Ovis aries: one gene and its partners. The main gene of each other region encodes a partner of the protein of the gene in region 3 in a complex. Links are inferred from orthologs where the notes say so. Each region holds a gene or a part of one and is shown on either strand. Other genes may lie near its edges. The genes, in order: PPME1, CRYBG1 and PPP2R5C.

What was found.
Region 1: the proteins of PPP2R5C (region 3) and PPME1 are in contact, whole or in part, in a cryo-EM structure (PDB 7SOY), measured with the Homo sapiens proteins. The link is inferred for Ovis aries from reciprocal best matches to the Homo sapiens genes PPP2R5C and PPME1. Residues at the interface, in NP_002710.2 of Homo sapiens: Asp180, His187, Arg188, Tyr190, Gly191, Leu194, Arg197, Ser230, Ile231, Gly234, Phe235, Ala236, Lys240, His243, Asp313, Gln341, Tyr348, Glu353, Tyr354, Glu399; in NP_057231.1 of Homo sapiens: Arg37, Lys38, Arg39, Asn192, Lys217, Val251, Glu252, Gly253, Ile254, Ile255, Glu256, Glu257, Pro345, Gln346.
Region 2: the proteins of PPP2R5C (region 3) and CRYBG1 are in contact, whole or in part, in a crystal structure (PDB 6VRO), measured with the Homo sapiens proteins. The link is inferred for Ovis aries from reciprocal best matches to the Homo sapiens genes PPP2R5C and CRYBG1. Residues at the interface, in NP_002710.2 of Homo sapiens: Lys183, Thr184, His187, Tyr190, Gly191, Leu194, Arg197, Ala198, Arg201, Glu226, Ile227, Ser230, Ile231, Asn233, Gly234, Phe235, Ala236, Lys240, Glu242, His243, Pro265, Gln266, Tyr269; in NP_001358171.1 of Homo sapiens: Pro1136, Phe1138, Ala1139, Met1140, Pro1141, Pro1142, Ile1143, His1144, Glu1145, Asp1146, His1147, Glu1149.

What each region holds. Positions count from the first base shown.
Region 1 is NC_056068.1:52,286,344-52,290,768, reverse strand, and holds the start of PPME1 (protein phosphatase methylesterase 1), read right to left. Parts: upstream 2,805-4,425; 5' UTR 2,700-2,804; coding exon 2,599-2,699; intron 1-2,598. Other genes in the region: C2CD3 (C2 domain-containing protein 3), read left to right, coding at 3,302-3,356. UniProt on the Homo sapiens protein: Demethylates proteins that have been reversibly carboxymethylated. Demethylates PPP2CB (in vitro) and PPP2CA. Binding to PPP2CA displaces the manganese ion and inactivates the enzyme.
Region 2 is NC_056061.1:30,725,481-30,729,123, reverse strand, and holds part of CRYBG1 (beta/gamma crystallin domain-containing protein 1), read left to right. Parts: intron 1-2,148; coding exon 2,149-3,643. UniProt on the Homo sapiens protein: May function as suppressor of malignant melanoma. It may exert its effects through interactions with the cytoskeleton.
Region 3 is NC_056071.1:64,443,776-64,447,323, reverse strand, and holds the end of PPP2R5C (serine/threonine-protein phosphatase 2A 56 kDa regulatory subunit gamma isoform), read right to left. Parts: exon of another isoform or gene 3,510-3,548; intron 1,503-3,509; coding exon of another isoform or gene 1,455-1,502; exon of another isoform or gene 1,431-1,454; intron 1,313-1,430; coding exon 959-1,312; 3' UTR 628-958; downstream 1-627.

The DNA of each region.
Region 1 (4,425 bases), on a different chromosome or scaffold from region 3:
CACAGTACTATAAAGCAGCATCTTTCTAAAGAACTTTATTTTCCAGAATAAGCAGTTAACCTAAATTAAGAGGATCAAACCATCTATTTAAAGAGGTTAAAGTGAAAGTCACTCAATCATGTTCAACTCTTTGCAACCCCATGGACTGGTCCATGTAATTCCCTAGGCCAGAATACTAGGGTGGGTAGCCTTTCCGTTCTCCAGGGGATCTTCCCAACCCAGGGATCAAACCCAGGTCTCCCACATTGCAGGAGGATTCTTTATCAGCTGAACCACAAGGGAAGCCCTCAAAGAGGTTACTGCTGCTGCTGCTAAGTTGCTTCAGTTGTGTCCGACTCTGTGACCCCAGAGACAGCAGCCCACCAGGCTCCCCCGTTCCTGGGATTCTCCAGGCAAGAACACTGGAGAGGGTTGCCATTTCGTTCTCTAATGCATGAAAGTAAAAAGTGAAAGTGAAGTCGCTCAGTCGTGTCCGACTCTTAGGGACCCCATGGACTACAGCCCACCAGGCTCCTCCATCCATGGGATTTTCCAGGCAAGAGCACTGGAGTGGGGTGCCATTGCCTTCTCCGTTAAAGAGGTTAAGTTACTAACAATTAAGCTAATCAGTAGATTTTAGTACATGTGCTGCCCCAAGTGGATGCTAATCAGATTTTACTCTCTTAGCATTTTTCTTCAGTTCTTCATCTTCAGAGAACTTGTTTTGCCAAAACGAGAAGCTAAGCTCTAAACTTATCTGAAGCACATATGGTTATTAAAAGGCTAGTATTTTTATGTATTTTCACAGAAGAGCACAGGAATACTGAAAAACCAAAGTTTAGATTAAGAAAGGCACCAACTAAGATACATATTAACAGTAAATGCTACATTAATTTTATAGTCCAGGTTAATCTTCCCCAAATAATCTACCACAGATCAGCTTGCAGATCCTCCATGATCATGTTACAGCCCTACCTTAGTCTTCCAAAGTCAAAACAATCTTCATTTTACCTTACATGCAGCCTTCTGCCACCTCTTCGTACTGTGTGCGTTCACTGACCTACCTTTTACCTTCATCTGTCAAGGTTTTCTCATTTTTCTACTCTGACCCATGGCCAGGTCTCCACTTCAAGTTTTTGTTTCCTTCTCCGGTTTTTCCAACCATTCTCACTACCCCTCTACCCTACTGTTTTAATCTCCTTTCTCTCCATTCCTAGGACCTGTTTTCACAGCACTGTATCTCCTATCTTTGTCTCCTTTTTGGTAAGCTTTTGTACATGTTACTTCTTCAGAACCTAAGATTTTTTTTCTCTAGTCCTTATTCCAAGAATATCTATCAATCCATCTCTAGAATTCCAAACACACTCTTGATTACCACATACCTAAGTATTTTTTCTATCCCTTACAGTCACTAGTCTCCAGAATCCTGTCTGATTCTACAAACACACCTCAAAACCGACTACCTGATCAATTACCTATTTTCTAGCAATTACCTCTCCCAGGTGCAACTCATTACACTCTCTCTCCTACATCTTAGATCCCCCAACCCGGCCCAGTCATTCAACAACCTAAAATTCCAAATGCCAACACAGCTCCTCCCATTCGAGCAAACAGTGGTTTCCCTCAAAACATTTTAAGATGCTACTCTCAATACTTCACTGAGTTTTATCAGACCAGTACATAACTTCCACCAGACCTACCTGCCCTGCAAAAATCAATTGCCCAAATCTTCGTCTTTAACCTTTCCCAGACCTTCTGTCTGCAGTAAGCCATTAGTTAAACCCGTTTTCTACTCATTTCTCAATCTCTGGAGCCCACACTCACTCTCTAAATCCCTGCATGCTCTCTCTCATCACTCCTCCCCTTATTCCCTACCCTCACTTCTCAGCACATTCCTATCACCCCTACCCCTAACAGTCTTCCTGGCTATCCTATCACCCCTACCCCTAACAGTCTTCCTGGCTATGTTCTCCATCTTTCCTTAGGCCTATTACCCACACTTTCTCAGCATCCCTTAAGAGACCTAATCTCTAAGTCACTTGCTCACTCCCTGAATATGCCTCTTCACCTTTAGAAACTCTCTCCAGAACCTTCTGCTCCCTAGTTCTCTTTCCTTCTCCAACCCTACCTCAGGTGTCCCGTTTCCCCCAGCTTCTTTCTCACAGTTTCTCACAGAAACTAGATAAAGATTTACTCCTCCCAAATCTTTCCCTAGTTCTCCTCCTAATTTCCCTCAACTTTTCACTCAGTCATTTCTCATTTCCCTCAACCGTCCCTGGAAGATTTCCCTCCACCTTTGTCACAACTCTTTTTCCTTTTCTCAAGCCTCCACCCGTTCTTCTGAGGTGCCTCCTTCATCTCTTAAACTATCTTCTCAGCTTCCTCAATCTCTGCCTCATTCCCTTCTCCCTCCAATACTATTTGTCCTCTAATTTCCAGTGACTTGGCGCCTCCCCTAGTCCCCAGATCTGCCTTCTACTTCATGTAAAGGTCTCCAGGCCGCCGCCAACATTCTCTCAATCCTTAGCCTCCCTTGCCATGCCACTCTAAACGCCGAGAGCCACCATTCTCCAACGGTCGGGGCCTGGCCTCTAGGGAGAAGGGGTACGGGTCACGTACCCCATTCGCATCTTGGCTCCGCTCTGACTGCCCCCGCTGCCGGGTAGCGGAGGGCGAGAGGGCAGGCGCCCAAGATGCATACTCTTCTCGAGGGCCGACATGAAGGGGAGGCCGCAGGTAGTCGAACAGTAGCCGAAGCTTCGTCCCAAGCTAAGCGCGGCCCAACCGGTCACAGCTCACTCCCCTAGCGACGCCCTGTAGCCTTTAGACAGCACCCAGCTACCGGCAGCACCGCCCACCGGCTCTGTAAACTCCACCCCCTCGCCCCAGCACTTCCACCGGAAGTGCGCAGCAACACTCCACAAAGGGTGCTGGGTAACGGAGTCTCTGACCCTTCAGACCCCTACCGGAGAACTCCACGACCTTCGCCGGAAAGAGAAGCGCTCCTATGTACCCTGGGCAATGGAGTCCGCAAAGAGCGCGTTCTGCGCTTGCGCAGTTGGAGGCGACCGCGTTCAACCCTGCAGAGGTAGCGTAGCAAAGCATCCTGGGTGTTGTAGTCTACTGGTAGGAAAGCGTCTTGGCGCCTTCTTTTCCCGTCGCTTCCCAGAGACTGTTAAAGAAAGAACCACTTCTTCCTGCCTCCCAGGCTGCCCAGCGGCGCCGGTTGCTGGGGAACGCCAGCGCCCTGGGAAGGGATGGCGGGAGGCTACAGCTTAGGTGCTGGAGCCGTAGTTGAGTTGGTGAAGAGCTCGGGGTCGTCATGAAGCAACGGAAAGCTCAGGGGCCTGGGGGCGGCCGTAGCCGCAAGAAGAGAGGTAATCTGGACGACCAAAGGTGGAAGAAAGCTTAGTTGGGCGATTGGGCGGAGTTCGGGGAGCGGGGCGCTAGGCATTCTAGGAAGACCTCCCACAGCCGCCTGTTAAAAAAGGGGGGAAGAGGATTGCGGAGGGAAAATAAACCCAGGGCATCGGAAGGTTAAAAGAGTGCATTTGACCCCCCCTAGAATGGAAACGGTATAGGGTCTTGACTAGGGGACAAAGTGGGTGAATAAATGGAATGAGGGGAGGGCTAAAAGGAAATGCTTCCAAAGGAAGAGAACAAAAAAATTGTAGGTTTTGTTTTGGCTTTTACTTTTTAAAAATTGAGGTATAAGTAACATATAACATTATGTTAGTTTTAGGTGTACGTTTGGAGTGGATATTTGTATATATTTCGAAATGATTGTCAGTTGTCTCGTTAGCATCCTTCACCATACATAGTTACAATTTTTTTTTCTTTTGCAGAGAACGTTTAAGATCTACTATTTAGCAGCCTTCAAACACACAGTACACTACCATTACCGTCACCAAGTGTACCTTAAATCCCCGTGACTTAGGAATGTTTTTGATAAGCGTGTGAGGGCAGGAAAAGGGGATGTAGAGCTTTGCGGGTCCGTATGGGACTGGAAGGAAAACAAGTTGGAGAGTGTGTCGGTAATCCTAATAGGCAAGAATCACGTTTTAGGCCGTAGCGAATCCCCCCAAACTAGCACACAACAGAACTCGATAAATGTTAGTTGAATGACTGAGGTGTGAGGCAATCATGAATCATGAAGGGCTACAGATGGGAGTAGAGAAAAGCCAGTTACAGAGGAGAGAGAAAGAAAGACTGGGGATTGACAGTGTGATAGGAGGTGAGGGTATGAAGATCTCTGAAGGATTTGAGATGGTGAAAGTGTTTAACAGGACTTTATCAAGTTAGTCCACTTAAGGAGACCAGGGGAATGTTAGCTTCAGCAAGAACAGTCACCCTAGGAACCCAGGGCAGATCAGGAAACAAAATTAAATCTCTGCAGAGCTGCCTCAAAACAAAAACTGGGTGACTCTGCCTTTTTACATTATAGGC
Region 2 (3,643 bases), on a different chromosome or scaffold from region 3:
TCGGAAGTGTGGTCTGCAGTCTACTCTCTTGGGCTAACTCTGGCTCAGGGGTGCCCATTGCACCATCCTGTAGGGTGGGGTTGAGGGAGGTGGGGTTGGAAGATGAGGACCTGGGCTTGAATCCTGATATTGCCCCCACACGTAATATACTTGAAGTCTCTCAGCTTGGATCTTTCCTTTCCTCCTTTCGGCTGTAGGGTAACAAGCACCTCACATTGCCGTTACAGAATTATATGATGTTACTGTAACAGGGGGCTTCCCTGGTGTCTCAGTAAAGAATCTGTCTGCAATGCAGGAGACCTGGGTTTGATCCCTGAGTGGGGAAGATCCCCTAGAGAAGGGAATGGCAACCCACTCCAGTATTCTAGAGGAGCCTGGCAGGCTATAGTCTATGGGGTCACAAAGAGTCGGACACGAATGAGTGACTAAGCACAGCACAGCATATAGTAACAGGGCTGTCTCAGTAAGTGCTTGTGGACCCTGTTAATTCCATGCTTTATCTTAGTCTTTTTTGTTTACCACCATCTCCAAAGTCCACTGGCTGCATATACTTCAAATGAAATGGAGCAAGCTTTAAAGAGTGATTCAGGAACCTCTCTTGTAAACAGTCAATATGTAAAAACTGCCCTGTGTGTTCACCTTTCTGGAAAGGTGGGGGTCAAGCTAGCTCCTGGGTTTCAGGTGAAAGAGGTAATCTTAATATTAAATCTGTTGTAGCCAGACGTGTGTGGGGTTGGGTTTCAGTGGGCTTGTCACCAGGATAGACTTCCCTCCGCTGGGAGCCAGGCTGGGTTCCCGCTTGAGCTCCCTCCCTCCGTCCCGCAGGCGGGCCTCCTCTTCCTGCCTGCCCGGCCCCTTGGCTACCAGCTCTGCGCTCGCTGGGCGCCCATTGGCGGATTTGCTTTTATTGATTTGTTCTGAGCGGGCTCCTGGCTTCCCGCTCCAGTGCAGGCGCCGGCCGTTTTGCCCCAGGCTATGGAATAGGAACGGGTTTTCCCCTTTATGGGCACGGGCACTGGGCGGCTCTCGCAGGTGGTGGGGGCTGTGGGGGGGGAGGTGGTTCCCTTCCCATGGATAGGTCGGACCCCGAGCCCATTGGGTTGCTGAGGAATCGATCCCTGGCCGAGGTCAGCGTGGGAGAGTCCTGCGCTCTTCTGTCCTCCGTGACGCATGGCGGGGGACCTACAACGTGGTCACCCTGCACCTTTGCCCTCCCTCCAGCACCTGCCCCCATATTGACACCCAGGAACACCCCACGGGCAACAGCCTCTTGGGTGAGCTGGGCAGTGGCCAGCTGTGTTCCCTGGGGACCAGCAGATGTTTGAATGTCCACCTGCTTCTCCCATTGGACGGGCACGGCCTGGCCAGTTGAGAACCTCCGACTTGGCTGGGGGCACACCCACGTACTTGAACTCGATTTCTTAAGGTTTTTCAGTTGAACCCAAAGTGGCTTCTTTCTGTTCTGGAAGAGAAGACTGTTTTTCCTTGTTCTTCTTCCTGCCTAAAGAAAGAAGTGGAGGTATTTGGGGGGAGGGGGGTGGGGAATTCCACTTTAACATACTTTAGCATGTTTACTGCTGCCCTATAGGCAGACATGGCTGTTTGGAATTACATCTTTATGGGATTTCCTGGTGGCTCAGACAGTAAAGAATCTGCCTGCAATTCAGGAGACCCAGGTTCAACCCCTGGGTCAGGAAGATCCCCTGGAGAAGGGAATGGCTACCCACTCCAGTATTCTTGCCTGGAGAATCCCATGGACAGAGGAGCCTGGTGGGCTATAGTGCAAGGGATTGCAAAGACTCGGACACTACTGAGTGACTAACTGAGGTATAAAGCAAAACAGAACTGGGAGTTATTTATTTTGCATGTGTGATTATTTGGACGTTCCGAATTTTCTCTCATGATTTTCCTTCTATAGATAAAGGAAATGTTACTCTTCGGTAGCACCGAGCAGAAATAGTGTTTGAGAAAAATTCAAAAAGTGAAAAAAAATTATTTTGTTGGAATGAATGCGAAAATGTAACTCTCGCTTTCAATTAGAAACTCAAGCCTATTTTGGCTTGTAGTTCCATAATGTACTTACTATTAATACTAATAGGAAAAGCAGGATTCTCACATCTGTGTCTCCCATCCCCTTTTATTTTTCAGTCCAGAGCACAACCACCAGAAGAGAACAAAAGGAAGCCAGTTTTGGGGAAACTTGGCACTCTGTTCACGGCCGGAAGGAGAAGGAACAGCAGAAATGGGTTAGAGAGTCCCACCAGCTCAAATGCCAAACCAGGCTCTCCCAAAGAAGTAACCTCTTCCAAACTCCCAGAAAGGGAGACTGAGAAGAGTCAACCTCTGGGCGGCCAACCAAGGCCGACAGACGTGTGCGAGGAGGGCTCCCCACAGGAGAAGTGCCAGGAGCCGGAGGGTGAACACCCCGAGGGCTGCATGCAGGCAGCCCCCCCGGACGCCACACGATCACCTGGCCGGGGCAGCCATGCAGCGGCGGCTGTGCAGCAGGGCTGTGAAAGTGATTCACCCCAATTAGAACCTCTGGAGGCAGAGCGAGAGACCTTCCCAGATGCCACCGCCACTGCCAAGCAGCTGCGTTCCTCATTAGAGAACTCCTCCAGGCGGGAGAGCGCAGAGGCGCTCATCCGCAGTCCGGGGGAGGACGCTTCGCCCGGCGCTGGCAGCGAGCAGGAGCCCACCCAGGGATCGAGGGGCGTGCGGGGCTCGCCCGCTGGGGAGCATACCGCCGAAGGGCCCCACCTCGTGTGTGTCCACGGAGGCTCTCCGGAGCCCCAGGGCGTGCTGAGCCAAGTCCCGGAGGACTCTTCGGCTTCGCCCGGCGACCCTCCCGCCGAGGGTTCGGAGAACCGGGCGGGCTCAGCACCAGTCAATGGCAAAGCCGAGTCCCCGGGGCAAGACTGCCGGCCCCGCGAGCGCGCCCACCCAGCAAAAGTGCTGACTCTGGACATCTACTTGAGTAAGACCGAGGTGGCACAGGTCGGCGAGCCGGTCGTGATCAGCCCCGGGGCGGAAGATTGCGGCGATTGCGACGACATGGAAAAGAGGTCGAGCGGCCGCAGGTCTGGGAGACGGAGGCGGTCGCAGAGATCCACCGACTCCCCCGGCGCTGACCCACCGCTGCCCGACTGTGCGCCCCGGGACGACACGGTGTTCGAGGACGAGGTGGCGCCAGACGCGGCTGCCGAGAACGGCTGTGCAGAAAAGAAAGTGAAATCTCCGCAGGCGGCCCCCAATGGGGGCGTTGCCTCCGCTGCCGGCCTCGAGTCCAAGCCCAGCCCCAGCCCCAAAGGGCAGCTCCGAGGGGAGCCGGAGCGAAGCAAACAGCCGCCGCCCACCTCGTCCCCCACCAAGAGGAGGGGCCGGAGCCGCGTCCCCGAGGCCGTGCCCACCTCGCCCGCCGGTGGCCCGCGGGCTCCGGCCAAGGACTCCCCTCTCAAGAAGGCGCCAGACCCCGGCCCCAGCCCGGCCGCCAAGGAAAGCGGGGAGGAGGCGGCCCGGGTCATCCCCCGGGAGCTCACGGTTAAGAGCAGCTCGCTACTGCCTGAGATCAAGCCCGAGCACAAGAGGGGGCCGCTCCCCCACCTCTTGGACGGCCGGGGAGACGGAGGTCGAAGCAGAGACT
Region 3 (3,548 bases):
GACAAGATCCACAACTTCCTCTCTGTTTAAGTGTCTCCAGCAACGGGGAGGCAGCACTTGAACAGCAGTACTGTTTGTGGTGATGAGCAAGCACCTGCCAGAAAACACTCGTGCCAAGTCAATCACTTGATAGCCAATAGCACACATCTCTGACCACTCCCGAGTGGCCAGCGTGCCAGGACCGCTGGCATGATACGCAAAGTATACTTCTCTGTGCTTTAATAAAAATATTCAGGGACTTGCAGAAACCATATATGAAAAGTGCCGTTTTGCAGAGCCGCTATTTCTCACGGTTCTTGGCAAGTTTACCTGTGAAGACCGTAATAATGTCAAGGTTTGGAAAGAGTTTTGTGTCATATCATTTTAGGACTGTTTCTAGAAATGTTATTTGGATATTAAGGTTCATTTATGGCAAAGGCAGGAATTCTGATTTTCTCTCCCGGAAACTGGTGTAAGATAGCTTCAGGGGCTGCCGATCAGGGTCACAGCCCTTGTAAAAGCGCTCTCATCAGTGAAGCCTAGTTTGCCTTCGACCCGGGAGAAACTCAGAGGGAAATTCTACCCTGAATTTTATGTCCATTCCATGCTGAGTTGTAAAACAAAGCAAAGCGAGGCAAAACAAAAGCCTTTCAGATACTTAAAATATTTAATAACTGCCGCCGACAGGCATTCCAAAGAGAAGAAACATTTTCATAGAAAAAGGCAGTAGTAAGAACCTGGGAGCTGGAAACCAACAAACGCAAACTGAGAAGGCAAACGTGACCGGGGAAGCTTCTGGAAGGAGAGAGAGAGAGAGAGAGAGAGAGAGAGAGAGAGAGGGACCTGCTGAGTCTTCCTGTGTAGCCATTTAAAACCAGGGTGTAAAGCAGAGAGCAGCTACACAAGCTACAAAGGTTAAAAAACAAACAAACAAAAAATCAGAAACATGGGAGGCAGGAGAGAGATGTCATGCAGATGGTCACCCTGGACGAGCGGCCCTGGTGGAGGGGTGTGCCGGCGAGCATGCTGTTGATGGCGGGGCAGACGAGACAGACGGGAGTGCTGCCCCGGACACCTCCCCGGAGACATGAGCCGGGAAGGTGCGGTCTCTGTCCGCTGTCCCCGGAGACGTGAGCCGGGAAGGTGCGGTCTCTGTCTGCAGCGGGGCAGCGGCTCTGAAAGGAAAAGCAGCTCTGAAAGCGGCTATTCGGGAAGTGGGGGGCAACATCGGGGTGGGTGCATGGAAAGAGTGCACGCTTCCACTACTTAATTCAGGACAGAACTCATCAGAGTCTCCTAAGGGACCAGATTCCTTTGTCTTCACCATCACAAGCTGGAATGACAGGGGAAAAAAAGGGAAAATACTTCATGTACACAGCATTGCCAGTTCTTTTCCTAAATATAAAAAAAAGCCTTATAAATACATTTCTATGTACTGGAGTAAGGAATACCTTCACTTCCCACCTTCCGTCTTTCTACACCTTCCTTAACTGCATGCTCGACACTGCTTTCCTCCCGACCGACTGTTAAAAATGAGAATTGCAAAACATTTTAAACGTCTCTGATATATGAATGTCATTCACATGAACTTCACTGGTTCTTTTTGGAGGTTCTACATAGGGTTACACAATTTTCTTGGAAGAAATACAAGCCACAGTTCTGACAGGTCAATACATAACTGAATTTCTCCCCAGAACCCCAACCCAGTACGTTGCACGGCCACTGGGGTCTCCTCCGCTGGAGAAGATTCTCCTGCGTGCACCTCACGTCAGCGGTGAGCCCACGTTCAAATTACTTCGAAGAAATGTCGAGTTATTTTGGAAAAATAAACCTAGCTGAAAATAAACTAAAAGGGGCAGTGACAATGTTCACATTACTAAATATAAAAACTGAAAAGCCTGGTTTTCAGCATAACCTCTTAAGTCAGTTTGGTCTCCAAATGAGGAATATAGATTTCCCCTGCATCTCAGCATCTTCTCTTTGCTTGAACGACAGTGTGTTTGAGGATTTCAGGACTATGGCTCCAAATACTTTCAAACTGACAAGAGCCTGTCATATCAAATATTATAGCTAAGAGACTGCACTATAAACTGCTTCATCTAGGTAGGTTGCTGTTTGCGGGGGGTGGGGGTGGGGGAGTTCAACTGATCCATAGAAATCCATAATAAGTCTTGAAATTGGGTGGTGTTAGTCTTCCAAAGTTTATTCAGAGTTATCTTAGCTATTCTAGGTCCTTTGCATTTCTGTATATGTTTTAGAATTAGCTGGTCAATGTCTTAAAAAAGAGAAGGGTGACTGTTGGGATTCTGACTGGGTTCTGTTAATTTGGGAGAGAACTGATACCTTAATAGCACAGAGGCTTCCAACACAGGAACAAGATCCATAGACACTTAAAGGTAGCATGAGGGGCGGGGAGGGGAGATTTTGTAGGAACGTCAATTACACAGAAAGCTCAGTCTTATAATCTAATTTCAAGAGTTTCATGAAAATAAACTGGCAAACCAAGAGCTCTCCGAGAGACGCCCTGTCTACACCCGGTGACTCAGGACTAAGGACTGGATGAGCAAAGAGGCTGCTTCTTTCTCCACCGTGGAGGGAGGGGAAGGAGACGTGCCCTCCACATGCCCTCCAGGGGCCGCTGGAAGATCAACCAGCTGGGAAGGAGCAGCCACCAAGGAAATACGAGAGCTGACTTTCAAAGGTAGTCTTTCTCAAGGCAAGAATGCTGTTTTTTCTAAATCCCCTACAGAGTCGGCCCTGAGTCAGAAATATACCCAAAGATCGACAATTATGTAATATGTTCATTACACTTTGGGAGGAGTCTATCCTTTTCCTGGGTTTAATTATCACGTCAAATGACGTCCCCAAAAGAAAACCCCTCCAGCCCTAAAATATTTAACGTATCAGGACTGGCTTGTAAGCTGTCGTTTTCCCTTTCTGTGTTTTTGGGCCTGAGTAAGCCAAAGACTACCGTGAGGCTAGACTGAAGACCACCCACGGGCAGGCTCGCTGCCAAGAGGGACCCTGACACGCACGTCCTCTGCCCGCCTGCAGTAATGATGCCAGCGCTCACGTTTCTAGCCCACCTGAGGCTGTAAAACTGAAACGGCAATCCAAGAAATGACTTCAAATTCCTTTCCAAGTTAAAAACAAAACAAAACAAGCCTTAGTAAGAAAATTAACACCCCCATAAGACTGAGAAAAAAGATAAAGGTTTTCATTGTTTTTCATTCAGGCTACTCATTGCTAAGAATATTGTGAGGAAAATGATGGAATCCAAACTGGATTAAGTAAAAAATGCATCACTGATGTTTTCCCACGGTAGTTTCAGTGTTTGCATCCACCTGCCTTTCCCTGAACCTGAGGTCAAGGGCTGGCCGGGCGGGAGGAGGCATGAGGGGGTCCGGCAGCCCTGAGAAGAGGGGGTCTGGGCCCGTGCTGCCCGGTGGGAACACAGTGCCGGCCACACACACAATTCCAGACTGTCTAGCAGCCGCGCTGAAAAGGCGGGAAGCAACGAGTGAAAATTACTGGAGTAACATTTTTTATTTAACCCAGTATATCCAAAA